Linked DNA regions of Diceros bicornis minor. The protein of the gene in region 1 purifies or fractionates together with the protein of each later gene. This does not show direct contact. Links are inferred from orthologs where the notes say so. Each region holds a gene or a part of one and is shown in the gene's direction. Other genes may lie near its edges.

Region 1 (10,246 bases):
TCTCGTGGTATTAGCTCCTTCCTGGAACAGGCCTTCTATCTTAAATTCTTTTAGGCAGTTAGAGGGAAGCCAAAGTTTCTTTCAGAAAAAGAAATAATTTGTTTTGTTCTTAAAAATAATCAAGGCAAAGAGACACATTTTGGGGTGGCCAATTCTGATCCCCCACAGTACATAATTCCTCAAACCCAAAAGAGTTCACTTCTCATTCACATAGTAGTCTGAGAAGGATACTGTGGTCAGCAGGCAGCTCTCCAGTGTGTGGTGATTCAGGGTCCCAGCTCTTTCCACCCTCTGCCTCTGTCATTCCTCATGGCCTCAGAGTCGCCTGTACCCAGCTAGCAGAAGGGAGAAGAGAAAGTGTAGAGGGGCAATGTGCTCCTTTAAGCCTTGGCCTGGAGAAGGCAGGCAGCACTTCCGCTAACATTCCACTGGCCAGATTGGGGTCATACAGCCATACCCAACCCAAAGGAGCTGGGGAAGTGAAGCCTAGCTGTGTGCCTAAGGCAACAGAAAAGGATAAATGGATTGTCCATTTGTCCGTGATCAGCAAACAATCTCTGCCACAGGCCAGTCAACTCATCTTGTGCTTGTAGGCTCCTTCATTTACAAGTGTGTATCAATTATGTATACCCAATACTGTCTTGAGAGCTTGTGAATATCTATACCTATGAAGCACTTTGAGTTCCATGGATAAGCAGTGCACCCGTTGAATATATTGCTATTGTTTACGCCATTGCTATGCTATTGTTATTTGAAACATTACATTGGGTTTAGTAACAGTAAACAACATAGAACTTTCTACCAAAGAACATTATCAAAAACACTATGTGAAATGCAATCTTGCCTGGCAATAAAGGGATTAACTAAATGCTGTTTTCATCCCATGTTCTTTTATTCTAGTTACATTACTCCATATAGAACAGCTATTTCTTTCTTCCTGGTTGAAAGCATTAGTATTTCTGCTCCAGAACTGATGGACTAAACTAGTTCATGTATCAGAAATATAATTCTAGAAAACATCTGGCACCTTTTAAAATACGTTTATAAAGTAACATTTTAAAATACAGAGGTCTGAGACCTTTCTGGAAAAACTCTAGGAAAGAATTACCATCCTAAGTATCTCGTAAGGGCAAGCTAATGAATTTTATAGTAAGTCCACAACTTTTTGGAAATCAATCATGTAAAATAAATATCAGTAGTGAAACAGCACCACAAGGATAACAAGTTTCACTCACATGTAGCCAGTGTAATTTAAGAATGTGCCAGGCAGAATGGTAGCAAGATACACGATCTACCTCAAAGCCATGGTTAGAAGATGCTAATCCCAACTCAGCAAATGAATCATTATATGACTTTGGGAAAATTAGCTTAGTTTCTCTGCCTAAAAAGGCAAACAGTAATAAGCAGATACTTCTAGAATAAATCTTCAAAATCTGAGAGAGAAAGGGAGATGGAGAGTGAGAAGTGGAAGAGAGGGGAGACAGAGAGATGGAGAGAAAATGGACACAGGGAAAGCTGCAAGATTGAAAAGGTGCTGAATGCTTGCTCTGTGCTATACTAAAAACAACATGTCTGCTTCAGGAAGCATAGAGCTTATGAATCAAAATATGTTAATACAAGCAAATCAGGCATCATTATTTATTTAGCACGTATGACAAACAAATGCTTTGTTAGATGTGAGTTTAAACAACCATCCCTTCTCTCAGAGTTATGCTATAGATAAAGAGAAAACATACTAACATTCCAATTAATCCAACAAATAGTTATTAGCCCTTGCCTCTCTGCCAGGTACTGAGAATGTGACAGTAAACAAGACAGACGTGGTTCCTGCTTCATTGAGCTGACAAGATAGACAAAACATAAGTAAATAAAATAATTACAATTTGCAGATAAGAGCTATGAAGAAAGTGAGGAAATGAGCCAAAAGGATATCACAGGGATATCAAAGAGAAGAATGTTCTAGAAAGGGGGAACAACAAGTGCAAAGGCCCTGAGGCAAGACTCACTTGGCACATGTTCAAGAATAGCAAGGGGGTCAATGGGCTGGGGTAGAATCACTGAAAGAGCAATTCATAGAAAATGGAGATGGAAAGACAGCAGGAGGCCAGACCAGGCAATGTCTCCTAGGCCAAGGCAAGGACTTTGGATTTTACACCAGAGAAATGGGAAGTCTGTGACTGACTGACAAAGTTACACAGCTGGTAAACTTGGAACTAAAACACTCATCTTCTGACTTGTATTCTAGTGTCCTTTACCTTAGACCCTGTGATTTTATTTTTCATTTTATTTTATTTTGTGAGGAAGATTGTCCCTGGACTGACATCTGTGCCAATATTCCTCTATTTTGTATGTGGGACACCACTGCAGCATGGCTTGATAAGTGGTGTGTAGGTCCACACCCAGGATCTAAACCCACGAACCCAGGGCCTCCGAAGTGGAGCATGCGAACTTAACCACTCCACCACTGGGCCAGTCCCTAGACCCCATGATTTTAAATGGTAAGTTTTGTTTTTTACCACAAAGGCACTCAGAATGAAAGAGAGGTGGGGTTGGATTGATTGGGTTTTTTTAGATTGTCATATTTTAAATTATTTTTTAAAAAATATTTTTTAAAAAAATTGACATTCATGGAACACAACTCAAAAGTGACCACAGGTTTTTCAGTGCAGAGTTAGACTCTTTCCCGCCTCTGATCCCAGCCACTCATCTCCCCTCCCCTCCCTCTAGTCTCTGTCATGGCCTTAAAGGAGTTGAGTTTCAAGATGACATTCATGCACCAATATTTACTGAGAGTCTATTCTTTGCCATGGGCTGTACTAGGTACTGGAGACTTAATAGACTAAGATGCAATCTCTGCCCTCTCAAAGCCTATTGTCTAAAAGACACAAGAAAGCTCTTAAGGTTTGATTCACAAATATAAGGCAAAAATAGGTCCCAAAGTAAAACAAGAAGATTTTCAATTCCAAAATGTTCACATTTTCTTTAACATATCTTAAGAGCTGCATAGGGCATTAAAGTCAACACTAATGTTTTTGGGTCATGCAAACAAGCATTTTGAAGCAATTTTCTATTCCAAATATGAAAACTCCCTAAAATAGCTTGGGGTTCTTCACTAGTTTATCCCTATTCAACCAAAAATAATAAATGAAAAGGAAATGTCTTCGATTACTTTAGGAAATCTATATAAGAAAAAAAAACTAATGAATAAGTCACAAAGATGTAATGTACAGCGTGGTGACTATAGTTAATAATATTGCATTGCATATTTGAAAGCAGCTAGGAGAGTGGATCTTAAAAGCCCTCAACACAAGAAAAAAATTTTGTAAGTATGTACGGTGATGGATGTTAACTGGGCTATTGTGGTGATCATTTTGCAATATATAAAAATATCAAATCATTATGTTGTACACCTGAAACTCATATAATGTTATATGTCAATTACACCTCAATAAAAAAATAATAACTTTTTAAAAAGAAAAAAACCTAAATTCAGTTTCATGTGTGCCTTTGGATTTTGTACCAAGGGAATGTATTACCTATTCAAAAAATACATATATATCTTTTTAAATCAGGGTACAGATTGAAAGTAGGTAGAGGGGAGTAGGGCTCTGTCTCCAGGAGGAAGAAAGGCAGCCATAGTGTGGAGGAAAGGACCCTGGGGTAGAAGGCAGGAGTCCCTGAATTCTAATACTAGATCCTCCCTGACTAGTGTGGAACTTTGAGCCAGTGATTTCTCCACACAGCTTCAACGAAATCATCTACCAAGTGAGGATGACCACATCTTCCCTACCTCACCATTAGACTGTCAAATGAAAGGGAGCCCTTGCCCTTCTTCTGTGATGAACTCCTACTCATCCCTGGAGCACTGATTCAAACATCACCTCCCCCATGAAGTCTTCCTAGACTTTCCTGACCAGATGACATTAGTGGCTCCATCCTCTGGGTTTCAAGAGAAATGTTTCTAGCATTGTCCCAGTTTCCTGACATTGTTCTACTTCTTTCAGTTTCTCCCACAGGCAGGAAGTTGTCTTAGTCTGTGAAGCTCCCAAGGGCTAACAGTTCACAATTAGAAGTTTAATAAATAAATACTTGCTTAATGAACAGTGAATGAATGGTACATGTTTCCTTGTCTGCATTTGTACACACTTCTTACATGTGATAAATAAATGAAAAGCAATAGGATATATTGGAGTATATGAGGAAGCCATTTAGTTTAAAACTAATTCTGCCTCACATGGCCTATTGATCATGCATTGTATGTCTGCTTTAAACATTTACTACATACCAAAGACAAGAATGATGCCCTTAGAGATAAGGATGTAACTTCCCCCCATACTGGCATTTCTAGAAACTAAGGATTGATTATCAACTTGCTGTGCTCACCTTGTGACCACTGACCTGCTGTGCCAGCCAAGCATCTCAGGACAGTAGTAAAAGAGATACTCCTATCATATGTAACATATGCTCTTTGTTCCAAGACAGTATATAACCACTCTATACATCCCACTTCTTAAGAGTGCTTCCTTCCTTGGGGAAGGCAGGCCCTGGGCTATAGTCCTCAGGCCTGGCTCATAATAAACTCACCCGAATTTTGATTATGAATCGTTTGTGTTGACACGATTCTGCAAAAAATGTAAGATATGAATGGATGTAAAATCATAAACAATACAAATATTATGGGCTTTTTCTTTCAAAAACGTTCAATTCCATTAGGGCATCTTTTCAACATAAGAAAATGTTTTAAACAACAACAACAACCGGGTGTGGGGGTGGGGGAGTGTACATGGAACAGAGATCTGTGGGAGATCAAGATTTGGCCACCCTGAAATCTATCTCTTTACCTTGGTTGTTTTCTCTGAAGGACATTTGACCTCCCCCACTAACTGCCTAAAGAATTTGACATGGTGGCTCCTTTCTGGAACAGATCTATCATGATGGTTGTAAAGATAACGTAGGGTAAATGTTACAATAGGAAAGGCACCAACAAGCCCCTCTTATCAGAAGTTCTGTCTCTCTGGCCACATTCTCTGGATAACCCTGCGAGGAGTTGCCAGACAATCATTTACATTTATAAGGGAAATCTCCATTTGTGAAGGTATCTCCCTCTCTGTTTGGAGAAGAGAGGGGGATGAGCTCATTTCTAGTGACTTATCAATGTGGAAGGTGAGGCCTTGAGTTACATAATAAACCTTACTCTTGTTTACTGTGCTTTAGTGGTAATCTCCTGTAACTGACTCCCCCCACCCCCAAAATCCTCCTTTGTCATTGGCTGAAAATGATATTTAAGACGAGAATTTCTGCTATTGTGTTGAGAAACGCAGTGTCCCTGCTTTCTCCCATGTATACGTGTTATTAAACTTGGTATTATTTTCTCCTGCTAACCTATCTTGTTGATTATTTGGCCAGCCAGAAGAACCTTAAGGGAAAGGGCAGAGGGAGATTCTCCCTCTTCCCCCGACAGCTCCCTATAGTCTCCACACCTTGTTTTACGCTTCAGCTAGTACCAGGCTCTTCGCTGTTTGCTAAAAGAATGAGTTATCTTTTTAAAGCTTTAAACGATTCACGACAAACTCAAGCCTCCACGGACTCTTCTCAAGACTGGATGGAAAGATTTCCGTAGGATTCAGACGAGGAAAATAAGCAGCAAGAGTGAACAGCACAAGACACTCCTGTGTAGTTACAGGCAGGTTAGTTTGGCCTTTTTCAAAAATTTCCTTCAGAAAAACACGACATTGCTAAGGTGGTGATCTAGTGAGATGCGAGATCTGGGGTAACTTTCTGGGTTCCCTCGCTCCCCCTCTCCGCTTCTCTGAGCTTTCTACACGGCCCGTGGAGCCCTGCAGGGCCACAGCGGGGTTTTCGTGCTGAGGCCACGGGCCCTTCCCGTGCGCGAGCCGACGCAGGCCCGGCGTCCGTCTCCAGCCTCGTCCGGAAGGAGCTCGGAGGAAGCTCTTGGGCAGCCTTGATCCCGGCGCCGGGACGTTTTAGCCCGCGGAAACCTGGACCTCCACCTGCCAGCTCTGCTACGCGGTCCTGCACACCGCACCGGGGCCTCTAACACCTGCAGAGGCCGGAACCCGCCGCCCGGGGCGTGGGCGCAGCGGAGCGTAATAGCTACGGTACCGCCCCGCCGCCAGGCCCCGCGGAGAGGCGGAAGCTGAGGGCGCTGACGCAGCTGGGGGAACTTTGCTTCGATGGCACCTTCCTGTCCGCTACTCCGCCCCCGCCAGAGGGGCTCGGCTCGGGAATTCAAGATGGAGTCGCTGAGCCGAGCTGGGCAGGAGATGAGTCTAGCGGCCCTGAAGCAGCACGACCCCTACATCACCAGCATCGCAGATCTCACGGGCCAGGTCGCTTTGTACACCTTCTGCCCCAAGGCCAACCAGTGGGTGAGTGCGGCCAGGCCGCTGAGGTCGCTCGCCCTGCCGCCGCCTCTTAAAGGGGCCGCGCGGAACGCCCTGGGTGGGGGGCGATGCGGGAGGCCAGGGCGACGGAGGCGAGGCCAGGGACTGTAGAATAGCCTGGCCGGCGCCAGAGGGGTGTCGGGGGCGCCCTGGATCGGGGGAGAGGAGCGAGAGAAGTAGGCCCAAGACAGGGGGAAAAGCCGATAGAGGGGAGGATTGGAGGAGAATCTGTCGCTTGGGGTCGGGTCCGGGGACGTGGGCGCCCTGCCTTCTTTGCAGGTGTGTTTTAGAATACGAAGCCGATGGGGTCAGAAAGATGCCTGAAAGATTGTTTGAAGCTTCGAGGGTTATTAAATAAGTTACATATGCATAACATATAAAGTAAACACCTCGTAAATACAAGCTCTCCCCGCAACAGACACATAAATAAGAGCCCCCTTCGCAGAGGTCATTTGGATTGAAAGCTTGAAATCCAATTAGTTTCAGTTCTTGGAAAAGGAGGTGGGGATAAATCCGGCTTTTATCGAACTACGCTGTGTTTCCCGAGTTTTGGAGAAGATTTCAAGGCACTTAGGAAAAGGGCTTCGTATTAACTGGATTCCTTTGAACTCTTTGGAAACGAGACCCTGTAAATGTGTCTCCTTTCAGCTCTGCTGCTGGTGATGTCACCTCTGAATGCTCCCATCAGACTAAGTACTTTTTGGCTTTTTTGCACGGAAGGGGGTCCGAAAAGTTACGTTCAGTCTGTTCAGTGACTTGTTAGCCCCTGTTTGAAGCTTCTTTCGTTGTTTAAATAATATAATTTCCCGTTTTCTCGTAATCGACCCTTCTTAATGAACTCATTCAGCTATAAGCTTGACATTTAGAAAATAATCCGTACATGTTTGTTGGATTGAATTCGTGAGTGACTGACGTTCACATTTCAGTAAGAAATGAAATCTTTATGTTAACAAAACTCTAAAAGATTGTTATTGTAATATGTCCTTTACAATATAATACAGATACATAGGTTATATTTAATCAGTAATTTTGTGAAAATCATTTGGCATTTATAGACGGTTAATTCAGGTGAACAGAGTTTTCAAAATCATCTTGCTTTACTTTTTCTTTCCTTCACCTCCTGAAAGAGGAGATATAGGAGGCCACAAATAAGAAAGTTATAGAATTTTTTTAAGTGTAGCTGTTTTAGACGTTGCCTTAGTTTGAATTGTTCTTAATCATTTTTCTTTTCTTGGTCTACCTATAAATTTGTGAAATATGGATTGCAGACAAATGGTGAAGACTTGGGGCAGGGATTTATTACCAGCAAGCTTTTATTTCCAGTTTTTAACAGACTTTCATTATTTTGGAATTTTAATTGTGGAGTTCTATTTTAAATATGAAATACAAGCTTTAATAACCTGAATTGAAAAATAAGCTGTTGTCGTTCATTTGGATCATGGCACATAGAGCATAACCAAAATCTTTCTTTCTTTATTATTTTACAGTGAGTTGTAACTTTGCACAGTGTTTTGTTTGGGCAAGTTTGCTTCCACTGTAAGACAGTTGATTACCAATTTCTTATACTAATAACTTGACATTTGAAAGGCAAGAAAAAGCCTCTGAATCCTTAGGAAGGAAAAGTTTCATGTGATATTTCAGCTAGGGCAATACTCCTGGAAGAAATCAAGATGATAAATATTTTTTAAAATTTTTTATCCCAACAAATTCAATTTGATATGACTAACATTTAAGGTTTTCTAGTAGTTTGTTGATTACATTAAAATATTTAGGTCCCATCCAGGCTGTGAACTGCAGACTATTATGGTTATTTGTTTCTTTAAAACATCATAACTGTTTAAAACCTAAGTACACTCTTATCACAGCAAGTGAAAGATGATATGAGTTGTACTTTCTTAATCAAAACATTTCACTTTAAGCTAAAAAAAATTTTTTAAATTATATGTAAGACCTACAGTAATTACATTAAGGCAGAGTATAGTTTCAGTATTCATAATTCTTCAACAAAGTTCTAAAAATAAGCTAAGCATTTTTGACAGTATTTCTTAACTAACCACGGAATTTGCTACTCATGAAAATCCCCCAATGATGAAACAAAGTGTCCTATAAGATAAAATTTTGTTTTTTTATCTTACTAACTTTGATAAACTTTAAAAGTGAAGAAATTGCTGTACACAGGACCTTGGCTTTAAAATTAAGAAATTTGGCTAAAACATTTTGGCTTTAAAAAGTGAAAGTTGGGGCCAGCCCAGTGACCGTGATGTAGTGGTTAAGTTTCAGCACACTCGGCTTCGGCAGCCCGGGGTTCAAGGGTTCAGATCCTGGGTACAGACCCTCACCACTCGTCAGCCACGCTGTGGCAGCAACTCACATACAAAATAAAGGAAGAGTGGCACAGGTGTTAGCTCAGGGCCAATCTTCCTCAACCAAAACAAAAAAAAGAGGAAGATTGGCAACGGATGTTAGCTTAGGACCGGTCTTCCTGAAATTGAAAAGAAAAAAGTAAAAGCTAATTCTAGGGTTTTCTTCTTTAAAATTTAAAAAAGGAAAAGAAGGAGCTAGGGCCGGCCCGGTGGCTTAGCGGTTAGGTGCACGCGCTCCACTGCTGGCGGCCCGGGTTCAGATCCCAGGCGTGCACCGACGCACTGCTTCTCCGGCCATGCTGAGGCCGTGTCCCACATACAGCAACTAGAAGGATGTGCAGCTATGACATACAACTATCTACTGGGGCTTTGGGGGAAAAAAATAAATACATAAATAAATAAAATTAAAAAAGAAGGGGCCAGCCCAGTGGCTAGTGGTTAAGTTCACGTGCTCTGCTTCAGCGGCCTAGGGTTCACGGTTTTGGATCCTGGGCACAGACCTACACCCTGCTTATCAAGCCACGCTGTGGCAGGCGCCCCACATATGAAGAAGAGGAAGATGGGCACAGATGTTAGCCCAGGGCCAATCTTCCTCAGCAAAAAAAAAAGAGGAGGATTGGCAACAGATGTTAGCTCAGGGCTAACCTTCCTCACCAAAAAAAAAAGGAAAAGAAAAATGCTGTAGATACAAGCATGTTGCTGGATTGAACGTTGCATATACATTAATATGCATCAATAGCATAGAAAGGATACAAAAGAAACTGGTAACAGTAGTTTGTGGACTGAGAGACTTACTGGGCCTGTTCAAAAGAGACTAATTTTAAAATAAATAAGTCGATCTTAAACATGAAGTAGTTCTTCTCCGTTGGGACTATTTGGGGTTATATTATGGAGAAAAAAACTAATTGATTCATTGTCTGTTATAGGAGAAGACGGATATAGAAGGGACCTTATTTGTATATCGAAGGTAAGCTTTTTTTTTAATGATATTTATTTATTTTTTTAATTTAAATGTGAGCAATGTAGGGGCTGGCCCGGTGGTGCAAGCAGTTAAGTGCACACGCTCCACTGTGGCAGCCCAGGGTTCGCCAGTTCGGATCCCGGGCACGCACCGACGCACCACTTGGCAAGCCATGCTGTGGCGGCGTCCCATATAAAATGGAGGAAGATGGGCACAGATGTTAGCCCAGGGCCAGTCTTCCTCAGCAAAAAAAAGAGGAGGATTGGCAGATGTTAGCACAGGGCTGATCTTCCTCACAAAAAAACAAACAAACAAATAAATTTAAAAAAAAATGTGAGCAATCTCATATGAAGTGGTTCATCTCTGTTGTACATTTGTCTTTGAAACTGTCCTGCTTGGCTCTTCAAGTATTCATCCATCCCTAGCTGTGAGATCCTAACTAAGTTATGTCCTTTCTTTGAGCCTTCCTGTGGTTCAGAATAAACATAACCAGAAGTTATTTAGGAATCTAGCAAAAC
Region 2 (10,095 bases), on another chromosome or scaffold:
ATAAGTTAAGAAAATTAAATTCCTTTATCAGTTAATTGCTAATATCAACATGGCTATAAGAAAACATAAATAAGTAGGGCACTAAGAAGACTCTAAAACCTACAGCTGCAGAGATTAAAACTCTGATTTTTTAGAAGTAAACAGTGTTTTTATGTTGTATGGGTATGTGTATGTGATTTACCAAAGATTTAACTTTGTTTCAGTACTTAAGATTCACTTAACCCAATGCAAGTATCCATGGATTATGATACAGCAATAACCTATTTTTCCACTGTGTCAGATAACCATACCTGGTAATCTGAGAGTAAAAAGTCAGTATTTACTACTTTTCCCTCAAAGTAGTCTGATGAATTTGACTTAAAATTTAGAACTTCAATCTGTTAAGAATAATTATTTTTCTTTTTTTAACTGGTATTGTCTTATTTGAAGAAAAGCAGATATCTATGCTCTTATCTTCTATCATTCTTACAAGTATTTCAATTATGTTGTTTTTCCTCATGCTGAAATTCACTGATCTAGCAGATGTCCAGCAAATGTTGATATGAACTGCGAAGTTCCTTCAAACAGAAGCAAATACAGATCTCTTTAGAAAAACGGTGGATACAAAACAGAGATGGAGACTCTTGAGTCTAATGTATCCCTAAGTGTAGTATCTTGAGCTTAATATTGAGGTCCCTCAAAAGCTTCAGGAAATGCCTCCTACCACATTTTCATCGGACAGGGAGGGATTACCTTCAGTGCAGCAAGTGCTTTGAAGAGTAGTTACACCCAAGCCAACATAAAATGAGCAACCTTTTCAGTGGATTGAGTTTATGTCTATCATTTGGCTCCCTCTAGTGGGGAAAATAAAATAGGCCAAAACACTGTAATCCTATGTTCTAGTGAAAACCAGTTTTAGAAATACAAGCTTATGAATACAAGCTATTGAACCACCTAATCATAATTTAGAAAACAATGATGTAATGACTCAAAACAGTATTCCATTATGCCAGACACGTGAAAAAGTTGCAGATAAATAAATTTCAATATGAAATAACACACACAAAAAAACAATGGGCAGCCCTCATTATCCAGAGTATAAGAGCAGTCTGTAACTAATACATACCAAATTGATCAATGCTTCTTAAAAAGCCTATAAGTGTCCTTCCATCTCGAAGCAGGACCAAATGCTTTTCTGGGAAGAGGAAAAAAGATCTTTAAAAAACACCTTCAGTGAGTTTACAGGGTAACAACAAAAATAAAGGTAATAGCAGTTTAAGCTCTATTACTTCCCCTTCTAATGTATTTATAGAGAAGTTCATTGGGAAATTAGAGGGAGGACCAAGACAGCTCTGGGTTTAGAAGATCAGTGGTGACAAGAATCAGAGCAGTGTCGCACAGTGGGAAAAGGCCTGGCTGAGCAGTCAGAAGCCTGACTGACTGGCTCTAGACGCTGATGCTTGACAGTTAAATCCTCTCAGTGTCATGTCAGTTTCTATATCTGCAAATTGAGACATTTAGTCTAGATAATCTTTATGATCTTAATTCTAGAATTATTTTCACCTCAACTTAGAAGAGGTTCCATTTAACACTTTAGAATCAGGGAAGGTTTTAAATAAAAACAATGCCTCGGACATGTCAAATGAGGATGCTGATAATAAGTTAGAGCAAAAATTCAATAATATTTATTGAGAACTATGTGCTGTTCTGGGGCGTAGACGTACAGTAGAGAATAAGACTCAGAAAGTCACCAACTTTATGAACTTATATTCCTGGTGAAGGAAGGCAAACAAATAAAAAATGAGCTATTGTGATTAGTAAAACGCAATAATAAACAAGATAGCAAGACAGTATGAAGAGACAGGGGAAGTAGCTACAGAAGAGAGATGGCTAGGGAAAACCTCTCTGAAGAGGTGACTCTGAGCTGATACTGAAGAATGACAATAAGCCAGTCACTAGAATAGCTGGCAAAATTCATTCATTCATTTCTTTAATACCATGCATAAAGTACTTTCTAGATGCAGACCAGAGAAACAAGACACTGATTCTTCCCTGAAGGAATTTAGTCTTCCTTGGGCTATAATTAAGAGCCACAAGAAAGCAAATCTTAATTACATGAGACTGAGAGAAACTATACCTAGCTGGAGGAAGTATCTGAGTTGGACCTTGAAAGGTAGTTAAGTTTTGGCCATGGGAAGAGTAACAGGGAAGGGGAAGGGGAGGGAAATCTGTAATTTAGAAAGGAGAAAAAAAAGGGTTATGTATCAATGTTTGGCTAAAAGTTGAGGGTGTGAAGGGAAATAACAGGAGACAAAGTCAGAAAAGTCCTGGGAGCACGCTGAGTTTGGATTTGACATCATAGGGAATAAGAAAACACTGAAGATTGAACTGGTAGGAAAGGGAGAGCACTTAGGAGGCTATTCCCAGAGTCTGAGACGTGAAGAAGAGACCTGAACCAAGGTAGAGATGAGAAGGGAGAGGATGAGACGACTGAGACTGTGCAGTTATAAGTGATGGGACTTGTCAACTAATTGAGTTTGTATACGTGGGTATGTGTGAGAGAGTGGGGTGCTGAAGAGATGAGGTAAAGATGATGTATGGATTTTGAGTCCCATGACAGGGAGGACCACTTAGGGAAGTTGGGAGTAAAAGAAGCAAGCTCAGGCTGCAAGATTATTAGCTGTTGGTGATTCTGAGGTGCTACCAGGACACCTATGTAGACAAGTCAACAGGCAGCTGGAAATGTAAGACTGGAATGCCAAAGAGGTCAGAATTAGAGCAATGTTGGATAAGTCCACAAAGAGCTAATATAAAACTATTTAAGTCCAGGAGAGTCCCCAGAGATTTAAAGAAAGAAGCTGGCCAAAGATGAAACCCGAGACCATCTATTTTAGGGAAGAGTAATAGTCGGAGAGGTAAGAAAATGAGTAAGGATCATTGTTGGAGAAATCAAGAGAAGAGAATTAAGAATCCAGTGGTAATAGTATCACAATGCTGCAGAGGGGCAGGAAGAGCTCAGAAGAGTACATCAAACTGATGCCTTTTAATAATGCAGCTTCAGTGATGTGTTGACAACAAAATTCAGATTTCAGGGATAATACAGGTGGTCTATGGCAGGTGGTCAGGAAGTAGAGACAAAATGGAGGTGACTCAAGAGATTTGTGGGTAAAGATATAGAAAAAGGGACGGGAGTTTGATGGGGAGACACAACTGAGAAAAAAATTCAGTTGGATAGACAAGAACATACATGAAGGGAAGGATACAGGAGGAGAAAGAGAGGACATATGAGAAAAAAAGGATATCAATAGAAGAAATTTCCAGAAGCAGTGGGAGGAAAGGATAATAAAAGACACAAACTGAAAGGGAGGAATACTTCCTATTCAAATGAGAGGATGGGTGAAAATACAGAAAGACAGAGGAGAGCGGAGGAAAGCGTGCGTGTGTGAAGGAGGCAGTGAAAGGGGCATACGAAATGGCTTCAAACTTTTCAGTAAAGGAGGGGGCTTGGAACCTACAAAGAAGGGGTTAGAGGACTTGAGAATAAAAATTATTTTTAGTAAAATGGCAGAATGTGTTAGGGGCCTCGAATAATTCAGATATATAACAAGAGAGGTGAGGGCAAAAGGGCATTCTCATGCAACTAAAATTGAACATTTCATTACACAATACAGATAGGCTTACACAATGCAGACACAGTACAGTGGTTACTTATATATGAATTTGGTCCAGTTTACATTAAATTTTCCTTCAATAGGTAAATCACTAGTTTGGATTTAAAAAATGATTTCAGACAACGATAAAAAGAGAATTTCATCATAGACTTACTCTTCAATTTGCATACATACTAACTGTAGATATAGCTGTAACTTGTTTGGAATTGTATGTAAACCATTTGGCAGCAATCACAAGTTAATGAGACAGATCACACAATTAAAACGATTTAAAAAATGTTGCTTGAGGAATAATTCACAGATGAGAGCTTAGAAAAAGGAAAGACAGGACAACCCTAAGTGGCTTCTCTTTTTTACAGGACTGAGCTCCTCTTCAAGACAATGACTAACAATAAGAGAGGTCTTCTCAGTAAAAGCAAAAGAAAATTGTCTAACAAAAGAAAAGAAGTTTGAGGTGACTCAGCCTTTCCAGAAAAGTCAAGATCTTGTCTGGTAGCGGTCTCTACTACCATAACCTGAACGTGCTCAAGACTCTCACTGTAAAAGAAGATTGCAAATGGCCACACAGCATAAAGCCTATGTTTACTGCAATTAAGTCCAATTGCTGTTGTCTGACTGTTTTCGTTTCTTGGTGAATGCTTTCTCTAAGTATTCTCATCCATCCACCCGTAACAATCTGGTACTTCGAAATACCGCAGGTGCAAGATAGTGGACCGGGGCGGGAGGCGCAACTTGCGTATTTGGGCCTCAGCAGCCGCGTCCTTCGGCAGCCGGAATGAATTCTACAGCTTGTGCCTCACCAGACCGGGGACTGGCGGAGGCTGCGAGGGGCAGGGCAGAGATAGTAGGCTAGGAGGTGGCCAAACGGTGTGTCCCGTGGCTCCTCCATCCCGTGGAGGATGTCAACGCCGAACATCCAGAGCTGTGCTAAAACCACACTGTCCCCCCGGCCCCAGACTCATTCTACGAGCTCCCTCCGAAGAGGCACCTGCCCAGGAGGAAGGGTCTCACCCCAGACTCCCAGACTTCACCCGGAGGAGACAGGCTACTCACTGTCGATGTCCTCGATGAGGCTGGCGGTACCGGGCATATAGTTCATTTTGAGCTGAGATAAGGCTGCAATGTATAGCGGCGGCGGGCCAGCGCGTGCAACACCTCCTTCTTCCTACCGCAGTCGCCGCCTGGGCGGGACCGGGACACGAACCCGGACCAGCACCAGCACTTCTGCCCCGGCTTTCAGCCGCCGGGGCCTGCCGGAAACTCCTCCATATTACCGCCACCCACTTCCGGCATCACGTGCCCGTCCTCAGGAAGAGGCGGGACCGTCGGGCGGTCCTGGGACACCCTTTCTCCATCCCTGTTGAGAAAAGGAGGAATTTAGGTTGGATAGATGGTGCGAAAATTTATTCTCTCTTTTAAGGAACACGGCGCCGCCCCTCATTTTCCCGCTTCCTAGACCCCAGACTCACCGACCTTGTTCCCTTCACTCTCAGGACTCGGCAGCCGAAGGGGCGGGACGGGGCCTCGGATTGGCTGTTGTCGGCCGACCCCCCCCTCACTGTTGTCCAGTCCTTCCCGGCCGCAGGCGCCTGCGCAATGGGCCGGCCGTGGGGGGCGGGAAGCGCTTCGGGGCAGTGGAGCCCATGTCGGCCTTGAGGCGCTCGGGGTACGGCCCCAGTGACGGTCCGTCTTATGGCCGCTACTACGGACCTGGGGTTGGAGATGTGCCCGTGCACCCACCTCCGCCCTTATATCCTCCTCGCCCTGAACCTCCCCAGCCTCCCATTTCCTGGCGGGTGCGCGGGGGCGGCCCGGCTGAGACCACCTGGCCGGAAGACTGCGGAGGAAGCGATGGCTACTATCCCTCTGGAGGCGCCTGGCCGGAGCCGGGGCGAGCTGGAGGAAGCCACCAGGTAAGCTTTGCGCCATCTCCCAGGGGAGATCCGATAGGGGAGTTTGGGGAGGTGAGGACCCTTGCGATTGATACACCTCCAGAGTTCGTAATGGATCGGGTTTCATATTTGTTTTCCTTATGAGGGGGTTGGAGAGACAGACTGGGATCGTGGGTGGCAGAATATGCTTGTGTTCTCTTTGCCCCTCCTCTTCTGCTGCGACCATAATAAATGTGTCTATTACCATTAAAAAAGGAAAAAATCCTGCGCTGGCTTGCTAAGCTAAGTAGCAGGATGCGGAATCTCTCGCCTTGGAAGGATGTTGGGCTGGGGGGACCTGGCTCTGCTTTTCGAGCTCTAACAGTTTATCCTGCGTGGATCATCAGGCCGGCTCTCCCCGAGAAGGGAGGTGGCTGCAGCCCCCGCCGTCACTCAGAACCCCTCCCGCGGATAAGGAACACGAAGGGAGGGGAGGAAGCTGAGCATTTAGCCCTTTGCCCTTAATGCTTTGCCCAGGACTGAATCACGCATAATCAGTCACCTTTACGCACCAATCAAAGCACCTTTACCTGGATTGTTTTATTTAATTTCAAGGCGACTGTAACGTAAATGTCATTGCAGCGTCCCTATTTTACGATTAAAGAACCGTTGGCACTGAGAGGTTAACTCACTTGCTCAATATACTCCGACCCTATAACATTTTTTTCCTGCCGGAAATACACTTCTGTTTTGTTAATGCGGTATTCCTAGTAGAGAATTATTGTTATATGGTGGGGGGCACACCTCTTTTTTCGTTCGGGATTTATAACATCCTCATTGGTTGAAAATGTAGTAGTGAAATTCCCATACGTTGCTGGTGAGGATGTAAAATGGTTCAATGCTTTGGAAAGTAGTTTGGCAATTCCTCAAAACATTAAGCATAGAGTTAACATATTACTTAGCAAGTCTGCTCCTAGATATATAACCAAGAAGACTAAAAACATATGTCCACATAAAAACTTGTGTACGCATGTTCATAGCAGCTTTATTCATAACAGCCAAAAAAGGAAATAACCCAAATGTCCATCAATTGATGAATAGATAAAATATGGTATATTCGTAGAATGAAATTATTTAGCTGTAGAAAGGAATGAAGTACTGATACATTCTGCAACCTGGAAAAACCTTGAAAACATCATGCTGCATGAACGAAGCCAGTCACAAAGACCACATATTATTTATATGAAATGTCCAGAATAGGCAAATCTGTAGAGAGAAAGATTAGTGGTTGCCAGGGGCTGGGGCATTAGGGATGTTGGGGATGATAAATAAAGGGTATGGGATTTCTTTTGGGGATGATGAAAATATTCTGGAATTAGGTAGTGGTGATGATTGCACAATTTTGAATATACTAAAAACCATTGAATTGTACACTTTTAAAAGGGTGAGTTTCATGGTTTGTTAGTTATATCTTTAAAAAATTGCATGAGAAAAAACATGTAGTAATAAAAGTTTAATTGTGAAGAAAGGTCCATATTTTCTCTGTCTAAATCTGGAAGAAGTAGGCCATGGGAGTTTAGTCCCATGTTAGAGTAGAGTGATAAAATGCTTGGCCTATAAGTAGCAAACTAGACCGAAGGTCAGTTGAAGGGAAAGAGGAGAGGACCGTTAAACTGATGACTTCTACTTGGGCTTGCTGTATTATTAAAACAAAAGTGTGTTTTTGGAGTAAGGTTAGAGAAGATAAGATTTTAGTATTATGCAGGGAGTTGTAAGGTATGGTTGAGTGTAGGTGTGCATATAGAGTGGGTGTCGGTGCTGTAGTAGTTGGAGATAAAGCTAGAATGTGTAATGGGCCTTTGTAAACCATCCCAAGAGTTTATCTTTCAGGTTGATGTTTCTGAAACTTGAACAGTATAGGATGGTAATGTCTTATGCAGCAGCAGAAAATTAATGCAAAAGTTATGCATGTTGTCACAGATGTGGCAAATTTTTTTCCCCAAATTTGTTGTTTTTTTAACTTTATTGTGGTTTTTGACATATTTTTTACATTTTTATATAATCAGATATGTCAAACTAAAAAAAAAAAGGGTATAGGAGCCTTTTAAAGCCTTACTACTCAAGGTGGCCCAGGTTGTCTAGTGGTTATGTTCCGTTCCGGCATGGACCTACATTGCTCTGTTAGCCATGCTGTGCTGGCAGCCCACATACTGAAAAATAGAGGAAGATTGGCATGGGTGTTAGCTCAGGGCGAATCTTCCTCAACAACAACTAAAAAACCTTGCTACTCAAAAAGTGTGGTCCATGGACCAGAGGTTTCAGTGTCATTTGGAGGTTGTTAGAAATGTAGACTCAGGATTTCCTGCTCCAGACTTACCGCTGAAGTTGGATAAGTTCCCCAGGTGATTCATATGCACACGCACGTTTGAGAAGCACTGCTCTATAGAATTGAATATATTAAGGTGATGTTGCACTGAACCACTACAAAGATTTGACTGTATTAAAGTACAGAAATATGGCAGGGAAAAAAATGGAAATCTACTGCTCCTTGCTTTCTTTCTTTTCTTACCTTGTTAGCTATACTTGCAGCACTGTAGTTTGATCCCTGAACTAGCAGCATCTGCATCACCTAGGAGCTTGCTGGAAATGCCCCAGACCTGCCAAACCAGAATGTGCATTTTAACAAGATCCCAGGTGATTTACATGTTCCCTCAGAATAAGTCATGAGAGAGAGAGAGAGACGGAGAGTGCGAGCTCACGAGCTGAGATGGTAGCCTCAAGCCGCAGTCTTTTACAACCTAATCTCGCAAGTGATATACCATCACTTCTGCTGTATACTATTGGTCATAGAGACCAACTCTTGTACAGTGTCAGAGGCAACTTCACAAGGGTATGAACACCAGGAGGCAGGGATCATTGGGAGCCGTCTTGGAGGATGATTACAACGGGAAGGAATGGGGGACAGAGAGCTCACTTAGGCCCCCAGGGTAGTTCAGAAGAGAGTAAAAGGGCATGCGTTTGAACAGTGTCTGATTGTAGACAGGGTTTTTTCAAGATTTTATTGTAAACATTTTTAAACAAACAGAAGAGTTGAAAGAATTCTACAGTGAATACCACCTAGATTCTGTAATTAGCATTTATTGTATTTGCTTTATTACATCTCTCTCATCTTTTTTTTTGGATGCATTTCAATACAAGTTGCATAGATTTGAGACATTTTCAAAGGTATATATCAGTTGGAAGTGAGGGATGCAGGAGAAACAGAAGGTGCTTCTGAGGTTTTAGTATTTCATAGGAATAAAGATTTCGTAGGAATTAAAAAGGAAGAGGAACAGGTGTTTTGGGCAAGATATGGTTTAGTTTTGTACCAAAAGAACTAATGATTCGTTAATAGAGGAGCTTAAAAAAATACGAAATACAAAGACTTGGTAAGGGTTTATGTACAGCTTTCAGTTCATTTCTGCTGGAAGCCAAGTTAGTCACAAGTGGTTACAATGTGCAAGCTCTGGATGCAATGTCTGCAAGTGATTAGAGAGAAATTTGTGGTTTTCTGTTTGTGTTTTTTGGTGTTGAAGTTTAGTCTTTGTGGCATCTAGGAGTTGTTTTTTGTAGGAGCAAAACAATAGCTGTGGGTTGGGGCTGGCCAGGTGGCACAGCAGTTAAGTGCGCGCACTCCACTGTGGTGGCCCGGGGTTTGCTGGTTTGGATCCCGGGCGCGCACCAACGCACCGCTTGTCAAGCCATGCTGTGGCGGCGTCCCATAATAGAGTGGAGGAAGATGGGCATGGATGTTAGCCCAGGGCCAATCTTCCTCAGCAAAAAAAGAGGAGGATTGGCATCGGATGTTAGCTCAAGGCTGATCTTCCTCACACACAAAAAAACAAAAACAATAGATGTTGGGCTCAGGAGAGAGATGGGGGCTGGAGATTGAGAGTCATCAAATAGAAGCATAACTGCATTACCAAACTGGGTGATGTTGCCAGGGGAGATCTTTGAGAGTCTAAAATAGGTGGCAGAGAAAGAGGGTCCAAAAGAAGACAATGAGAGAGAAGACTCAGAAAGACAGGAGGAAAATCAGGAAAGTCATGTGATGCAACCAAACAAGGACGCAGTTATTTTGCAGGTAAGTGATACGAGAGCTGAGAAGAAGCTGTTGGATTTGCCAATTAAAGAGATGTTAATGACTTTAGTGGTGGGAGTTTCAAATAATAGGAAAGTAATAACTGGGAGGTTTGGATGAGAAGACAACTAGTGTAAACTATACTTCCAGAAGTTTGTTAGTAAATGGGAAAGTGGTCCATTGACTGGGAACCAGGATTGAGGGAAGGATTTTTAGGATTAGGTGGCTTGAATATGTTTGTAAGCTGAGAGTAACCTAGTAGATTGAGAAGATGAGAACAAAAGAGTGGAATATGGTTTGGGGAGAGGGAGATTAAGAAGTGCAGAAGAGCTGAGAAATGTCTTCCGAGCTAGTGGGGGAAAAAGTAAGTTTGGAGTTGGAGGGGAGGGACGTTGAGGGAGTTTATAGCTCTTGGTGAAGTAGGAGGCTAGGTCATCTGAGAGTAAAGGAAGTG

The links.
Region 2: the proteins of DCP1A (region 1) and BAG4 purify together in Homo sapiens (affinity purification with mass spectrometry; 4 studies listed by BioGRID and IntAct, counting the BioPlex papers as one, with this or other methods). This does not show direct contact. The link is inferred for Diceros bicornis minor from reciprocal best matches to the Homo sapiens genes DCP1A and BAG4.

Annotation. Positions count from the first base shown.
Region 1 is NC_080741.1:53,868,175-53,878,420, reverse strand, and holds the start of DCP1A (mRNA-decapping enzyme 1A), read left to right. Parts: upstream 1-6,230; 5' UTR 6,231-6,254; coding exon 6,255-6,389; intron 6,390-9,692; exon of another isoform or gene 9,693-9,693; coding exon 9,694-9,734; intron 9,735-10,246. UniProt on the Homo sapiens protein: Necessary for the degradation of mRNAs, both in normal mRNA turnover and in nonsense-mediated mRNA decay. Removes the 7-methyl guanine cap structure from mRNA molecules, yielding a 5'-phosphorylated mRNA fragment and 7m-GDP.
Region 2 is NC_080768.1:34,794,484-34,804,578, forward strand, and holds the start of BAG4 (BAG family molecular chaperone regulator 4), read left to right. Parts: upstream 1-5,058; 5' UTR 5,059-5,293; coding exon 5,294-5,563; intron 5,564-10,095. Other genes in the region: U6 snRNA-associated Sm-like protein LSm1, read right to left, coding at 1,106-1,174, 4,704-4,749. UniProt on the Homo sapiens protein: Inhibits the chaperone activity of HSP70/HSC70 by promoting substrate release. Prevents constitutive TNFRSF1A signaling. Negative regulator of PRKN translocation to damaged mitochondria.